Caenorhabditis elegans: one gene and its partner. Changing the gene in region 2 together with the main gene of any one other region gives a genetic interaction. Each region holds a gene or a part of one and is shown on either strand. Other genes may lie near its edges.

The links.
Region 1: changes in unc-75 (region 2) and tdp-1 impair growth when combined (synthetic growth defect), as found in Caenorhabditis elegans (one study listed by BioGRID).

Annotation. Positions count from the first base shown.
Region 1 is NC_003280.10:8,996,108-9,000,268, reverse strand, and holds tdp-1 (Tar DNA-binding protein homolog 1), read right to left. Parts: upstream 2,445-4,161; 5' UTR 2,436-2,444; coding exon 2,340-2,435; intron 2,286-2,339; coding exon 2,092-2,285; intron 2,042-2,091; coding exon 1,962-2,041; intron 1,859-1,961; exon of another isoform or gene 1,849-1,858; coding exon 1,610-1,848; intron 1,521-1,609; coding exon 1,380-1,520; intron 1,337-1,379; coding exon 1,119-1,336; intron 1,015-1,118; coding exon 738-1,014; 3' UTR 547-737; downstream 1-546. Other genes in the region: F44G4.5 (uncharacterized protein), read left to right, coding at 27-488; F44G4.3 (uncharacterized protein), read left to right, coding at 2,727-2,791, 2,838-2,933, 2,984-3,083, 3,133-3,201; ndub-2 (putative NADH dehydrogenase [ubiquinone] 1 beta subcomplex subunit 2, mitochondrial), read right to left, coding at 3,370-3,760, 3,805-3,896. UniProt on the Caenorhabditis elegans protein: RNA-binding protein which regulates transcription, splicing and RNA-editing. Limits the accumulation of double-stranded RNA by maintaining the abundance of the mature RNA transcripts that are formed from double-stranded precursor RNAs.
Region 2 is NC_003279.8:11,590,300-11,595,279, reverse strand, and holds the start of unc-75 (RRM domain-containing protein), read right to left. Parts: upstream 3,035-4,980; 5' UTR 2,979-3,034; coding exon 2,874-2,978; intron 1,354-2,873; coding exon 1,260-1,353; intron 1,071-1,259; coding exon 976-1,070; intron 154-975; exon of another isoform or gene 82-153; intron 1-81.

The DNA of each region.
Region 1 (4,161 bases), on a different chromosome or scaffold from region 2:
TCAATTACAGAATTATTTTAATTTAGATGCTTCTGGAAATTGAGAAGAATGAAAAGTCGAGCTTTGATGACGTCATCACGGGTGCCGAATCGGATAATGGTTGGGAGGATTGTTTGAGAGAAACTGAAAGTGTTCAAAGTCAATGGATCACTGAACAATCCACCATTGCTTATCCAGAAACTACACGTGTCAATTGTGATGGTCCACAAAGTTATTATGAATTGGCTGATTTGAATTATAAGCCAGCAGAGAATACTGTTCGTTTGGCTCGTGTCCCATCACAGTACCAACTTGATGCTTTGTCCGAGATTTTCGTTTTCGATGTTCCTCAACATATTGCCGTTAAAAAAGTTGAAGCTTCATTTCTGCCGAAATATGTGAACACGAGTTCCGAGGTTGCCCAGAATTCTGTGAACACGACGCCATACTTTGTGAATTCGGAGTACGTTTCTGAGATGTTGTGCAATGAATACTCGGAAACTTACTAACTTTTTGTGCCTCTTGTCTTACCAATTCTTGAGAATGAACTAGTTTTTTAGTCGATTTAATTTCAGGTTTTTTATTCAGAGATTGTAGAATTGCATTATTAAAAATACAGCATAAAATCGCAAAGTGCGTCGACATGAAAATTGTAGGGGTCTAGTAAATGTGAGAGAACAATACTAATGACAAATTGTCAGACAAGAAAATTGAGAAAAGTGTAGAAAAATATGAATAATAACGATTTTTCGAGAGAATCACCATCCTGGTCCTCTCGAGTCTCCAGGTGCCCAGTATCTCCTCTCGAGGGGAGAATTTTGCTGACGGTATGAGTAATCTTGTGGTGGGCGGACGAATGGCATGGGCAGAGGTGCTTCATTTTGAATCGGTCGTCTATCCGGTCGATCACGTTCTCTGCGGTTACGGTAGCCAGCTGGAAGGCCATAATCAGGGCCAACTGATTGATTATTCTCTTCTCGAGGCTGTGCGATGCTCAATCCAACTGATAAACCGTTGACAGTTAGCGATCCTTTGCTGAAAATTATATTTCTTACTAGAATGAAAAATATGAGTGCTTAAAAGTGATGCTACACCGGAGACAGTTATTTTTAACAGGTTTTCCAAAAAATTAGCAATACCTGACAATTCTTTCCGCGGCTTCGGCGCTCGACAGCGTAACGAATGCAAAGCCTCTGAATGGTTTTGGGATGAACACATCGGTAACTACTGCAGTCTCTATATAGCTTTTTGCTTCATCTCCAAACACTTTTCGCAGTTGATGTTCGTCTACTTTGTCTGTGAGCCTTCCGACAAAAATTCGACTGATTGATGGACGACCTTGTTTGTCCTGCAAACTCTGCTCAACTTATTAGTTTTAATTGATCAGTATAATAACATACCCTTCCATCTGGAACTTTCACATCACAACGACGACCATCAATCATGTGCTGTGGGATAGCTAATACTTTATTTTGTTCACCGACTGATGACATTCTGACAAATCCAAATCCTTTTGAGTTTCCATCCGACTTTCGTTTTATCTGAAGAAGAATATTGAATATGTATTTTTAATGGAACCTATGTGAACTTAATTCTCTCACTTTCAGATTCCTTCACTCATCTCACGAACCTCACAGAACACAACAGTTCCTATATCTTCGAAGTATTTCTGAAAGCACTCGTCAGTCGTTTTGAAGTCCACACCGAGCACGATGAGGTCAACTGGCTGGCTGTCTCTCTCAACCGCTCTCTTCCTGCCCGAACGTCCGTCACGACCGTCATCCGAATCCGAGTCGTCACTCGATCCCACTTTACGTCTCTTCGCACTCGTCGCGTCAGCTGATGACAACGCTCTGACTCTCTCGCTCTCTGAATCACACTACGTCACTCGAACGTCTTCACTCAGACTGTCACATAAACCGTCTCTACTCAAAAGCTTGAATTTTGGTGAAACTAGTTAATATAAAACAAAAACAACTTACGCGGGGCAACAATAACGAAGAACGTTTTATTTTCCCAGCCGTCAGCTGGAGCAATTAATTTCAAACCACTGGGATCGACTCTGGAAAATAAAATAAATTTTAAGTCAGTATACCTCCACCAAGCACTCACTGAACAGCTCGGTTGGCTCCAGTTTTTGGATTTTTGTACTTCAAACCAGTAGCACCCGGAAACGATGCTTGCAATGTAGTCATCAAGACAACACCATCAACGGTAGGAAGTTCTATTGGCTCATCTCCATTTGGATCTTGTACTGTGATGAATTCCGGGTCCGTGGTTTTCTTTTCGTCACTCCCAGTTTGTGTCTGGAAAACATGAACATGGGATATTAGCAACTGTACGAATTATTATTAACTTACCAGTTCTGCCTCTTTTCGAATTTCCTTAACTTCATCCAAGGGTGATTTAACCTCGGCCGCAGGTTCTGTTTTAACCTTCGGCGTTTCGTCGGCCATTTAGTGACTGGAAACAGATATATTTGAAATAATAACAAATTTACTAAAATAATGAATTATTTGTATCTATTTTTAATCAATAAAACCAATAAATTGAGCCAAAAATCTCCGAGCAAAAATCTTGTAAATTAATTACACAAATGGTGTGCAAACACCATGACGCACATATGCACACATTTTCACACCGTACCTCTCAGAAACTAGGCGTCTCTGAATTACAAAAAAAACCTTCTTTTGCCCATTAATGATCATTTTATTCTCTGAAACTTGACAATTGACTATTATTCAAACATGGAAGGTGACAAAAATGTGGTGATGAGTTCAAAACCGACAGGGAAAGCCAATTGGAAAATAAAGTAAGTGTTGTTCACCAGCGTTAAAATTAAAATTATTAACTTTCAGATTCCACAAAATTCTGTCATATCCTATGAAAAGAACTGGTCCTGCAATTGTAGCTTCAACGCTTCTCTACATAGTAATGTACAATGTTGGAGTCCGGTAATAAAACATTGTAATTGATTCATTTTTAACTGAAATACTTATTTCAGGTGGTGGAAAGGCGACAAACATCCAGTAAATCGGTTTATGTGGAAGATACAAGAACAAGAAGGAAGGCTAGATCCTACTCTTCAAGCGAAAAAACAAGTTGTAAGACTAAATTTCCGCTCGAAATAGTTTTTCATTCGTCTTTTTTCAGGTTCTTTCCTACCAAGAAGAGCGAGTTTATCGTCCACGAGACAATGTGCCGGACCTTGGAATAGTTTAGGTTATTTGGTTATAGATTAGAAATAAATAATTATATTTTTAAAATGTTCGTATTCGAAGCCACTTTATTGAATTACAATCAGGCATACAGGAAACGGTTAAAAATAAAAGTCAAGTCGTTTCAAGAAGAATGAGACTATGAATGAACTAAAAACATTCTGTCAACTATTTATCGATAAGTTCCATATTCTTTCTTGTGGTTGCCCCAGTATTCTGGATCTTCGGCAGAATCCTTTGGAATTCCGAGCTCTTCATCCGTGAACTCGCTCAAGTATGGCATGTACCAATGTCCCAAGAGATGGCCAGAATGATAGTACATGTGGTACGAGAACCACGCCCAAATGACAGCTGAGATGAAATAGGTTACACAACGATCGATGTAGGTTCGACCAGTTGTTGGAGTACGGTAGAAGTAATCTGGAATTGGCTTATCCCCCTTCGAGATGGTACCGCGGTAGTCTCCATCATAGGTGTGCAATTCTGGATTCTCCGAAGCTCCCATCTTTCCTCCAACTGGAACATTTGGACCAACAGCATCAGATCCCCAAGCAAATCGATTTCTAGAATAAAAAATAAATCTATACTATTCGGAAAGAAAATTTACCGAACAAAAGTCAGACGAGATGGGGAATTGACGAGTCCTCGATTGCGGAGGTGCTGCAGAGCCAACTGAGCAACGAATTTGTTCCCCAACATGGTCAGAACCTGAATAAATTCTGCGAATATATATAATAATAAAATATCATCAGAATAGATAATTATCGGTCAGAAACCTTAGAGGTAACAGTTTAAAAAAATTGCATCAAATTATATTATTCAATAACATCAACAAAACAACAAAATAAAAGCAGTAACAAAGATGATAGGGTTGCATGGGAGAGATTGAGATATTTGTTCAAAACTTCAAAAACCTTAGTAAGGATAAAATTGGGGCTTCGAATTTTTTTGCAACCTTTGAAAA
Region 2 (4,980 bases):
CGCATACTAAATTCAATCAGAAATTTCCGGCACAAGCCGCCGCGCAAAAATTCGTTTTTCGCAACGGAACTGCGGTCAATTTGCTCAAATTTTTCTTTTCGTCTAGCTTTTTGAGTTTCTAGGCCACCGTTTGAAGCGTTTCACTTTTTGGGCCTTGGTGGCCTAGAAAAGTGAAAGTTAGGCCACGTTTTTTTGCTGAGTTCAGTTTTTGATCTATTCGATGGAGTCATCGTCGGCAAGCTTTTTTTTTTTCATTTTTCAGATTTTGAAAATATTATTTTGAACCAAGTTATGGCAAAAAATTTTAAATTGGTGACCTAGAAATTTCAGTTAAAATTCTAGGCCATCACATAAAAGCTTCTGTAACTTTATTGTTGTTTTTGAATTCTAAAAAACGCTGCCAACACGATACGACGTTCCACGCAAAATAAGAGGTCGTGGCCGATTTTTGGATTTCTAGGCCACCAACTTTAAAATATCATACCTTTGTTAAAATTGAATATATTTTGATGTTTTTGAAAAGTCTAGTGAATTTTTAAATGTGTTTTCAATTTAAAATTTTTTAAAAATTATCAATTTTGAAAATTCTAGGCCACGAACTTCAAAACCACAAAACTTAGCGAAAACTCAACTAGTGAACTTATAAAATATACATTTTTAAATTTTCTAAGCCACCCATTTGATTTTCTAGGCCACCTACTTCATCTGACCATAATTTTGCGTAAAATCGTGATTTTTCAGAAATTAAAAAACTAGATATACAGTATGAATGTTTATCTACTATACTAACAACTCAAATTTTAGATTGAAAAAAATTCTAGGCCATCAATTTGGGTTTCTAGGCCACCAACTTCAATTGGCCATAACTTTAATTCAAATCAAGATTTTTCAAAGTTTTAAAAACAAATATTCAGAGCATTTTCTATATTTTCAAAACAAACATTTCATTTTTCCAAAAGGCAAACGAATACTCACTCCAGGCAGCGTTTTCTGATCGTGAAGTGTCGCCTGACAGCGGACGGCGCTGTCTCGATGGCAGTAGGTGAGAAATGCGCAGCCTTTGTGCATACCTGAATGCATTTCAATTTCTAATGAACCGTGATTCCGGTACTCTAACCACACCCTGTCAGGCTTCTGGTAGTAGTAAGAAAATTTTGTGGGGAAATTTTATCTAGCAAAAAAATTTTTTTTTTTTGGATTTTTTTTTTCAAAAACATTTTTTGTTGAAAAAAAAACAAAAGTTTAATTTTTCTGCTTACCTGTATATTTGTCCTTAAGAATTGTGAATTCATATATTTTACCAAATTGCTCAAATAGGTGACGTAGATCTTTCTCTTCCAAGTTTCGGGGGATCTGAATTCTTAGATATAACTTTTTGCGAATTTAAAAATTTCCAAATAAATTTTTTTATAAACATTTATTACAACGCTAAATATTTCATAAAATCTATTACATTTGTAATTTTTAAAACGGTTCGAAGTTGGTGGCCTAGAAATACAAAATGTTAGGCCATTAACTGAAAATCAATTTAATATTTTTCACTTTTTGCGAGTGTTTTGTACACTGACATCATTTTGAATTTTAAAAAATTATCGATTTTCCGCCAAGTGACATCATTTTAAAGTTGGCGGCCTAGAAAACCAAATAACACAAAAAACTAGGCCATTATTACTTAAACTTGAAGAATAGATATATTAATATATTCTTAAGTTTAATACATTTTTCAAAATTTAAAAATATTAACTTTCAGTCAAGTTATGACCGTTTCAAGTTGGTGGCCTAGGATTTTTCTATGCCACCAACTTAAAACCGCTATAACTTGGCTTAAAATCATAATTTCTGAATTTTGAAAATTGTTACAAAATGTGCTCAGTTAACACTATTATAGCAATTTTAAAAACAATCCATGGCCTAACTTTGCATTTCTAGGTCATCAACTTAAAACCGCTCTAACTTGGCTCTAAATCAATATTTTTTGAGCGCAAAAAAGTTTGATACGATACAAAATAATAGTAATTATTATTTTTTTTTAAATCACAACATTTTTCAGACTTTAAAATGTTGACTTCGAGCCGAGTTCAAGTGAGTTTAAGTTGGTGGCCTAGAAAAATCCTAGGCCACCACCTTCAGATTTCTCTAGCTTGCCTGAAAATCGATATTTTTTCAAATTTCAAAATATAAGTTATAGCTGAAAAATGTAACTAGCGTGATTAGTAGTTTTCAAATTCTAGGCCACTAACTTCAAATCGCCATAACTTGACTCAAAATCGATATTTTTAAGTTCTGTAAAAACTACTGAGTAGCTAATAATTTTAGTTTCTAGATTTTCATAGAATATAATTATAAATTCTATGAGAAACGTTTCCCTTCTACTCATATTCCCTTAATCCAATATTCCCTAATATGCTCCGAACCGCCTGTGTCCCCCCGGGTTTCTGGGTGCTCATATCGATCTTGCTCGCGGAGCACAGCGACAAACTTGACACACACTCTGACGATGGAGTATGCGAGACGCCGGGAGATATCCGCGTGGTGTAGAGGGGGAGGGAAAAGAGCAAATTTGGTGCAGAATGGGCTTCACAAATGGGGAGAGAGGGAGGGTATCAGCGTCACGCGATTTGTAGAGGGAAATGGGAAAAGTTAAGGTTTCTAAGAAAATTGAAAAATCAAAAAAAAATCAAAAACTTTTCACAAAAATCCACCCCCATATTGCCTAGAATCCCCCCAATTTTAAAGTTGTGGGTCTCACCACGACAACTACAGTACCCCTGCTTTGCGGCGGGACCTAACACGCAGTCTAACAAAGTTTTGAAAATCTATATTTTCAGAAATTCCACAAACCCCAATTTTTTTCAATTTTCAGCCCAACCAACCTGCCCGACAAAAAGCTTAATAGCATCCGGATCCTTCACCGGAAACCCATTTGAATCTGTCGACGAGGTGCTACTGGCGCGCATCTCGTGCTGCTGCTGCCCCATATCAGCAGCCGACGGAGCCGGAGCAAGTGCAACTGTCGGTGGAATGGTGACAAGCTGCAAATTTGTGAATAATCAACAATTTACATATGTTAGATGGATAATTTGGAAGCAAGAACAAAAATTAGAGACAAAAATTGAAAAATCTTTTACCAAAACAAAGTTAACTGACAAAATGTTTATTAAGTAGTTTTCTATATTTCTGTAGTTAAAATGTTCAAATTATAGCTCAAATAGGCCGAGATATAGTCCATAAAAATTGGTAAAGATCAGACATAGTGCATCGATCAAGATATGTCTACAGCTATTCTACAGCTTTTAGCTCAGTTGCTTTTAATTTTATCAAAATAAAATTAACTGACAAAGTGTTTATTAAGTGGTTTTCTATATTTTTGTAGTAAAATTTCTTTAATTATAGCTCAAATAGGCCGAGATATAGTCCATAAAAATTGGTAAAGATCAGACATAGTGCTGCAACTCAGTTTACTTTGATTTCATCAAAAATTTGAAAAGAAAATTATTTTAAAAAACTTTTTTTCTATAGTTTTCTAGAGGAAATTTTAGGAAATTGAAATTTTTTTTTGAAAATGAACCGAAGTATATGGCCTGGAAAATTGGAGGGTATAATAGTTGCACAGCAAAATTTTTTTTACAAAAACGCTGGAACTTTTTTTAAAATTTTTCTAGGTATTCATTTTTTCATTTGGCATCCAAGTCTCTTTATTTTGGGTCCCACCACGAAACCTACAGTAGTCCGGCAGGTTTTCGTGGCGGGACCCATGGGGGTCAAATGAAAAGTATTGGAGTGAAAAAAAAACATTTTTACTAATTGTAAGAAAGAAAACTGGAAAACTCCTTTTGAAACATTCAAAAAAACAAAAGTTTTTTTGGAAATTAATTAAATTTTTTTTAATTTTTGCATGCTCCTTTTAACTACTAAATTTTATACTCAAATAAGGGCCTTGGAAGCCTAGTTCTAGGCCTGGACTACTAATTTTTTTTCTTCAATTTTTACAGATTTTCAGAAGTAACGAGCACGTCACAAAGAAATAATATTACTGGAATATAAAAAATCCCGAAAATAATATAAAATTGTGGCGTAACTAAGTCAGGGAAAGTGAGAGAGAGAGCCGCTACAATTCATGGAAGCTAGTGAGTGTTCGAGAAGCTGAAGGGGAAGAAGAAGAAGCCAAAAAGAGAGTGAAAAGAGAAAGAAGAAGAAGAAGCCGTGCTGCTCAGTCCCCCCACTCGCGCACCCCTCTTCATGAAGACGTGACGCTGGAGACGCAGGTGGTGAGAGATTGGGAGAGAGGAGGAGCTTGAAAGAGCACCTCATCTCAAGAAGAGCCACGATTAAGGAGATCTTTGCCTTTCAGAGCCTTGCGGGGGTTTTGAAATTGGCTGAGCGGCGACTGTGTAACGCATCAAAATTAGAGGCTACAAAATTTGACAAAGCTGATGCTCAATAGAGCTCAATATTGTTGACAGATTCAGAATATCAGTTCTATTACAAAAAACAGGAAGCCATGTTTATTGTGGGGATTCTTTGGTGTTACACTTTACACTTGTGATCTTGAAAATGTTTAGAAAGGAGCATCAGAAAGTGCTCAACTATATAATTGTAAAAAAGTAGATAGTTGACACTTTTTGATAACCTACAGAGAAAAGAGCTGCCTTGGTCGATGCACCATGTCCAAAACCTAGCTATGGGCCTTATTCAACTTAGACGGCATGTAATATAAAGTTAGAGAAAATTTGGTATTTAGCATTGTTTTTTACGAAGAGAGTCGATGCACCATGTTCGAAAGGTATCAAAAACTAGAGTATCCATTAGAGTATCCGGAATGGGGAAATTGTTTTAAAATGTAGTATTCGTGCTCCTCAAACTTACGAATATAACAAAACTTACGAAATATAACTGAAACTTACGAATATAACAAAAGAAAAACGGGAAAAATCCGTTAACATTGAGCAATTGAAATCGACGAAAGCGGATGAAAGCGGA